2 linked regions of the Drosophila melanogaster genome follow. The protein of the gene in region 1 purifies or fractionates together with the protein of each later gene. This does not show direct contact. Each region holds a gene or a part of one and is shown in the gene's direction. Other genes may lie near its edges.

Evidence for each region. The genes of interacting proteins can lie anywhere in the genome.
Region 2: the proteins of CG2065 (region 1) and Kdsr purify together in Drosophila melanogaster (affinity purification with mass spectrometry, with the first as the bait; one large-scale study listed by BioGRID). This does not show direct contact.

The regions. Positions count from the first base shown.
Region 1 is NT_033778.4:7,661,852-7,665,824, forward strand, and holds CG2065 (uncharacterized protein), read left to right. Parts: upstream 1-1,934; 5' UTR 1,935-2,083; exon of another isoform or gene 2,084-2,112; intron 2,113-2,181; 5' UTR 2,182-2,188; coding exon 2,189-2,445; intron 2,446-2,501; coding exon 2,502-2,658; intron 2,659-2,723; coding exon 2,724-2,983; intron 2,984-3,044; coding exon 3,045-3,273; 3' UTR 3,274-3,418; downstream 3,419-3,973. Other genes in the region: CG2070 (uncharacterized protein), read left to right, coding at 186-265, 315-578, 648-1,064, 1,120-1,336.
Region 2 is NT_033777.3:25,260,408-25,264,449, reverse strand, and holds Kdsr (3-ketodihydrosphingosine reductase), read left to right. Parts: upstream 1-1,951; 5' UTR 1,952-2,049; coding exon 2,050-2,266; exon of another isoform or gene 2,267-2,268; intron 2,269-2,336; coding exon 2,337-2,905; intron 2,906-2,969; coding exon 2,970-3,194; 3' UTR 3,195-3,487; downstream 3,488-4,042. Other genes in the region: GlnRS (Glutaminyl-tRNA synthetase), read left to right, coding at 1-1,112; CG11858 (uncharacterized protein), read right to left, coding at 1,189-1,505, 1,565-1,640.

The DNA.
Region 1 (3,973 bases):
CCCTCGGCGACGCGGCAATCGTAAACCCTCCAACCTTAAACTTAAAACGATGTTTTATACCGGTCCACGTTAATGTTTCAAGTATGGACATTCCGAGGTTTTGATATTGCTCGTATAAAGAAATGTGTAAGGGGACTGGATCTGGCCAGTCGCCACTTGGAGCTGGTAGCATTCGGAGCGGAAAGATGAGTGCACCCACGGATTACCTGTTCTGCCCGCTGGCATATGGGTCAGCTCTTTCGGCCATCGGAATCTATCTGCTCCGGTGAGTTTTGTCCACTCTCAGTGATGGCCCTTTAACCTCAGCCAGTTAGACAATATATGCAGGGAGGTCAGTTCACCACGAAAACGAATGAGACCGGCAGAGTGGCGATTGTGACCGGCTGCAACCAGGGGATTGGCAAGGAGACCGTTCTGGAGCTGGCCCGCAGGGGAGCTACCGTGTACATGGCTTGTCGGGACATGAAGAAGTGCGAGAATGCCCGTCGGGAGATCATCAAAGCGACCAACAACCAGAACATCTTCGCACGCCAATTGGACCTGTGCTCCATGAAGTCCATTAGGAACTTCGCTGCTGGGTAAGCACATTCCTATTGACCTTAATGAATACACATATAAATAAAGGTACTCAATTTAATACTTTTTAGCTTTAAGCGGGAGCAAAACAAGCTTCACATTCTTATCAACAACGCCGGCATTATGGACTGCCCCAAAATGCTGACGGAGGACGGATTTGAAATGCAAATCGGAGTGAATCACATGGGCCACTTCCTCCTCACACTTCTGCTTCTCGATGTCCTGAAGAGTTCCGCGCCCAGTCGCGTTGTGGTCCTGTCCAGCATTGCTCACCGCTTCGGAAGGATTAAGCGTGACGACCTGAACAGCGAAAAGTCCTATGACAGAAAGATGGCCTACTGTCAGAGCAAATTGGCCAACGTCCTCTTCACCAGGGAGTTGGCGAAACGCCTGAGCGGAACAGGGGTCACGGTAAATGCCCTACATCCCGGAGTAGTAAACACGGAACTGTTCCGCAATACACCCTTTTTGGGTTCGTGGTTTGGAAAGTAAGTTTGCTGATTGCATCATCCCATCAGCTATTAACTTTCGGCTCGCCTTTAGATTGCTCATAGCCCCTATTATATGGATATTCATAAAGACGGCTAGGAATGGCGCACAGACGACCCTGTACGCTGCCCTGGATCCCAGTTTGGAAAAAGTATCTGGAAGATACTTCAGCGATTGCAAGCAGAAGCACGTGGGCTCGGCCGCCCAGTATGACGATGATGCCCAATTCCTATGGGCGGAAAGTGAAAAGTGGACGGGAATTAATATATGAGCAACTTTATGACTCTTTTAACTCTTACCCTGTATTGTTGAAATACATTTAATAGAATAAGCTAAATGAGCTAGATGTTCTGTTCAACTTTTGTAAAAACATTACAAACATTTTAAAAACATTTGGCTGGAAGTCTTGGAACCAGTTATCTGAGTAATCTTAAATAAACTGATTTAGTAATTGCATTTTTTAAATAAACATTTAGTTAACGTTGCCTTGGCGTCACTAGAATCTGAACTATTTAGCAATATATGATTTCGGTTTAAGTCATGAGCTGTCATAGAAGCAGGTGAAAAACTAATCGAAAATAATAGAATATAAATAAGAATAATAATAATAGAATAATATGGTATTATAAGATTAGGTATTAATTAAATTAGACTTGCAGATAGTTATTTAGCTTATCATGCATTTGCTCGACTTGCAATGAGGTTTTTATAAACTAGAAGCAAAAAGCTCTCAGCAAACCCCAAACATATTTCGTTCTCTCGCAGTTTCGAATCAAACTCATCGTGAGTAAGCGTTTTGTGGCTTTCGTGTATTTTGGAGCAGATAGCGTACATTTCGTATAAAAGGCAGTTCCAAACGGACGGGCAAACATTCATTGACAGAACCAGCAAGTGAAACGAACACAAACGGCGGCAAGATCTATACTGTATCCAAACAAAATGGGCTGCCTTACTAATTGCTTGTGCTGCCCCCTCATTTTTGGCCGTCCATTATCGGACTGGCTGCCTACTTGCTAAGGTATTTGCATGGAATAGTTCTACTGCTGAGTAATGATTAATACGCTCGTGAATTGCGGCCTGTGTTGAAATAGAGTGATAAGAATTAATGAATTTCAGAAAATACATGCAGGGCGGTCAGTTCACCAAGCAGACCGATGAGACCGGCAAGGTGTTCATTGTCACCGGTGCCAACACGGGCATTGGCAAGGAGACGGTCCTGGAGATTGCCAAGCGAGGAGGCACTGTGTACATGGCATGCCGGGATATGAACCGGTGCGAGAAGGCGCGCCAGGATATTATCAGGGAGACAAATAACCAGAACATATTCTCTCGAGAACTGGACTTGAGTTCGCTGGAATCCATTCGCAAATTCGCTGCTGGGTAAACGCAAACATGATAGATCGACGAATGCGTTACTGATTTCCCTCGTTTATTAGATTCAAGAAAGAGCAGGATAAGCTTCATGTCCTGATAAACAATGCAGGAGTTATGCACTGTCCCAGAACACTGACCAAGGATGGCTTCGAAATGCAGTTGGGAGTCAACCATATGGGACACTTCCTGCTCACCCACTTGCTGCTGGACGTATTGAAGGTATTTTGGGTACTCAGGACTTTCTTAGCACCTTGTTAACCAAACTCCCTGCTTAATCTCACTAGAAAACTGCACCCAGTCGCATCGTGAACGTTTCCAGCCTGGTGCACACCCAAGGTTTCATTAAAACTGCCGACCTAAACAGTGAAAAGTCGTACAGCAGAATCGGTGCCTATAGTCAGAGCAAGCTGGCCAACGTCCTGTTCACCCGGGAATTGGCCAAGCGCCTGGAGGGAACGGGGGTCACAACCAACTCCCTACATCCCGGTGCCGTGGACACGGAGCTGTCGAGGAATTGGAAGTTCCTGAAACACCCCTTTGCACAGTAAGATAGAAGACATAAGTGGGCACTACTTGAGTTTGATATTAACACTCGTATCGCTTAGGCTACTGCTCAAGCCCCTCCTGTGGGTACTCTTCAAAACCCCTCGCAATGGAGCGCAGACCACTCTCTACGCAGCCCTGGATCCTGCACTAAAGGATGTTTCCGGGCTCTACTTTAGCGACTGCCAGCCAAAGGAAGTGTCCGCAGCTGCCCAGGACGACAAGACTGGAAAGTTCCTCTGGGCGGAGAGCGAGAAGTGGACCGGCGTGAATTCAACCAAAGTTGATTAAGCAACCATTAGTTTATCCCTCGCCATTTCATAATTTATTATTTTAATAGCTTATCATAATGAAGACTAACGCAAAATGTAATAATTTATGTTTGAATTGTAGAATTCTTACGGATTCTACAAGCTGAAAATAAAGAAATGCTCCCAAAAAAGCTTTACCTAATCTAAAATTTGTATTTTGAGATCAACATTGTTGCATTTCTGTGTTCAGTACTAAAGAAAAATGGTCAAATTCTTTTGTTTTTTTTGTAAAAGTGATGGAATCAATTTGGATGATTCATGCTTTATTTTTGTACCCGTTATTCCTGGAGTAGGAGGGTATACTAAATTAGTTGGAAAGTATGTATGTAACATAACGAATCAGTTAGTTCCCTATATCTCGACGTTCAAACGGACGGATATGGCTGGATGGATCGTTTTGACTAGTGTTGCTGATCAAGTCTAAATATAAACTTTATTCTATATGTTACATACTGTTCAGCGAACCTATTATACCCTTTTACTCCACGCGTAATATACCCATTGAGTAAATATAAACATCAATGGAATTGCTTTTATTTGTTTGAATGCTTTCCACTATCATAACATATTATTGAGAATTCGTTTTCTCTTGACCTTCGTTAAGAATCTCTCTCCCGACGTTCTCCATTTCGTCAGGTTCTCACTCCGAATTAGCGATAATATATGTTTGTGTGGGGTAG
Region 2 (4,042 bases), on another chromosome or scaffold:
TCACCCTGGAGGAGGGCAAGATGGACCCGGTGGCGTATCGCATTAAGTTTATCTCACACCACCGTACGGGCTCTGACTGGTGCATTTACCCCACGTATGATTATACTCATTGCCTTTGTGACTCTCTCGAGGATATAACCCACTCACTGTGCACCAAGGAGTTCCAGTCGAGACGATCCTCCTACTACTGGCTGTGCAACGCTTTGGGTATCTACTGCCCGGTGCAGTGGGAATACGGTAGGCTGAACATGAACTACGCACTTGTGTCAAAGCGCAAGATTGCAAAGCTGATCACGGAGCAGATTGTCCACGACTGGGACGATCCCAGGCTGTTTACTCTGACGGCTCTGAGACGTAGAGGCTTCCCAGCAGAGGCCATCAACAACTTCTGCGCCCAGATGGGCGTAACGGGTGCCCAGATCGCCGTCGACCCCGCCATGTTGGAGGCAGCAGTGCGGGATGTGCTAAATGTTACAGCTCCCCGTCGGTTGGTTGTCCTGGAACCGCTCAAAGTTACCATAAAGAATTTCCCTCATGCAGCGCCCGTGCAGCTAGAAGTGCCTGATTTCCCGCAAAACCCACAGCAAGGAACTCATAAGATCACCCTAGACAAGGTGATCTATATTGAGCAGGGAGACTTCAAGTTGGAGCCTGAAAAGGGATACCGTCGTCTGGCACCGAAGCAATCTGTGGGTCTCCGGCACGCGGGTCTCGTAATCAGCGTGGATGAGATAGTAAAGGATCCGGCGACTGGTCAGGTGGTGGAACTAATCTGCACCAGCCAACCTGCCGAGCAGGCCGAGAAGCCCAAGGCTTTTGTCCAGTGGGTATCGCAGCCGATACAGCTGGAAGTGCGTCTGTACGAGCAGCTCTTCAAGCACAAGAATCCCGAGGATCCCAACGAGGTGCCCGGCGGTTTCCTGAGCGACATCAGTGAGCAATCCATGTCGGTGGTGGTGGCATTCGCGGATCGGGCCCTAAACCAGGCCAAGGTTTACGACAAGTTCCAGTTCGAGAGGATTGGCTTCTTCTCCGTAGATCCTGACACCAGTGCGAACCACCTAGTGTTCAACCGCACTGTGGGATTGAAGGAAGATGCGGGCAAGAAGTGAACGGGATTTCGGGAACCCACAAATGAAAAGAAACAAAATCCGTATCACATTAAAATTCGATTTATAAAATCAATGTTCATTTCTTTCCCTCCACCATGATGATGTGGTAGCCAAACTTGGTCTTAATCGGGGGATCTGTGTACACGGGATTGTTGACAGTGGAGATGGGCAATGCGAAGGCGGCGTCCTGAAATGGGCCCACCATCGCTCCTCGGATCTGCCATCCGAGATCGCCGCCTTGTCGCGCCTTGTCCTCGCTGTAAGCAGCCGCTACCTCGGGGAATTTTTGGCCTGCCTTTAGCTTCTCCATCGCTTCGGTGATCTTGCCCTGCTTCTCGCACAAGATGTGACGAACCTTTACAGCATTGCCTCCCTTCTTCTCCTTACCGGCAGCTGCAGATGGCAAAATTCATTTGAAGGATAGGATTTTTGCTTTAGTCGTAAGCACTTACACTTGTCTTCGGCGGCTGGCTTTTTGCCACCTTTCCCTGCATCCTTTCCACTCTTCGCATCCTTTTTCGGTGGCATTTTCGTTCAATGTTTTTAAATTGCAAATTCGAAACAAGTAAACAGTTTGGTTGGAGCAGACACATGCGGTCAGTGCTGCGCACTAAGATCTAACCTTTTTTATCAAACCACTTTATTTCAAGATCTAGTAAATATTTATGTTGTTGATTCATATGGGTAGCCATTGCACATTTAATTTATTATGAATAAAATTAAACAAAAAGTTTTGAAGAACAAAATATTTGCTTGGCCGCTTATAGCCACATTTGCATCTCTGATGTGCGTCGAAAGCTTTCGATAGAAATCCGGTTTGCGTCAACGGTCACACTTAGATGCACTTTCTAATCAGACGTTTAACTTTGGGTGCAGATAAGCCAGCGTAAGAGATTAGAGAATCCGGGAATTATCGCACCCTCTTGAAATTGTCATCATGGAACTGAGCTGGGAGATAGTGTTCTGCGTGGGCATTGCGGTGCTGGTTCATGTTCTGGTCTACGTGTTCGTCATGGCCAAGAAACCGAGGAGCATTGTGGGTCGTCATGTGGTGGTCACCGGCGGCTCCAAGGGAATCGGACTCTGTCTGGCGGTGGAGTGCGCCATGAAAGGCGCCAATGTGACGGTGATAGCGCGCGACGAGAAAATGCTGAGTGAGTAATGTTCTGGCTAGGAAACCCCACCCAAAATACTCTTATCTTTGATATACGATCTTTTTTGCAGGCGGAGCAGTGGCTCTGATGGAAGTGATTCGCCAGCGGCCAGATCAAAAGTTCCAGTACAGAAGTCTGGACATAAGCGGCGATTATGACCAGGTGGCCAAAGTGCTTGGCGAGATCGAAGATAGCTTCGGCCCCATATACACTTTAATAAACTGTGCCGGAATGGCCATTTGCGGTGTGTTCGAGGAGGTCTCAGTCCAGGATGTCCACAAGCTGATGAACGTAAACTTCTTCGGCACCTATAACTGCACCCGTTATGTCCTGCCCAAAATGAAGAAAGCCGGCGACGGCATTATTGTAATCACTGCCTCACAGGCGGCTATGTTTGGCATCTATGGATACGGTCCTTACTCAGCCACCAAGTACGCCCTGAGAGCGATGGCTGAAACGATTGCAATGGAGTCTCGGGAGCACGGGGTCAGCGTCACTCTGGCCATGCCCTGCGATACGAATACACCCGGATTCGAGGAGGAGGAGAAGTCAAAGCCCAGGGAAACCAAAATAATCTCTGGTGGAGGAGGTCTCATAGAGCCGGAAGTTATGGCGAAAGCTATACTTAAGGATGCCCTGGTGAGTCTGTTACCCATAGTTAATATTCACGCAATCTAACTAGAATACTTTTTCTTATTTGTAGAAGGGAAAATTCACCTCAACTGTTGGAGCAGAAAGCTGGCTGATCACCACTTTGGGTGGAGCATTGCTTCCTTGGGATGGCTTCTTCACCAATCTTCTGCACGCCATAGTTTTGGGACCACTGCGAATAGTTAGCTACGCTCTGCACAAGTACTTCAATAGTGTTATACGCAAATGCGCTCGAGAGGATAAGGCCAAGGCCACATCGCAAGTGGAGTCCAAGTGAAATCTCTCTTGTCCCGCTGCCCTTAAAGTATTCCCAAGTGCCCATAATTAAATCACTTTTTTATAATTAATCAAAATGTGCGATTGTTTTGCATGGTTAGCCTATTCATATATTACAATTCCCGTATTATCATTCATTTTTATATATATATTTGTATGTGCATTTGAACTTTTTTATTATTGCCGTGCTAGGGTTTTAACTATTTGTATCGTGTTTTCTAGACTAGATGACGTGTGCTCGTTTTGTTGGTGTGTGCTTCGTTTTAACAAAAATAAAATGTATTTACTGTTCAGAAAATGAGTCGTTTTTAAATAACCACTTAGTGATTGTGCTAATCGCTAAAGCAATTTCACGCATTGGCCTAATCAAAATTGGTTTCGTATCTTAAAATCGAACAGCAAACTACATGCAGAAGCGATTAGATAAATACAAAAACCACGCCACAAAAGCCATCAACCTTTTCCAAATGGTTCAAAATTCAACGATAAATTATTTGGTTTTCTTTTGTCTTTCTTTATTCATAAGACGCACCCAGTGTACACTTCCTATAGTTTCAGTTTTCAATTCGCCTTTTTTTAACATTCTGTATAGTTAACGCTAACAAAAATTGTATAATCATAATGCAAAATATATATATATATATGTTTGTATATATATTTAGACATATTATTATAGCATCTTAGCACGATAATCAAAAATAATTGGATTCAAATACAGTAAGTCTACTTTTTGGATAGAAGAGTTATTAAATTATTGTTAGGATTAGGATGAAAAACTAAATTAGAGCTGATCTGCAGTATTTCGGTATCGTTTGGGATTTACAATAGATAGAAAGCATTGTAAATAAA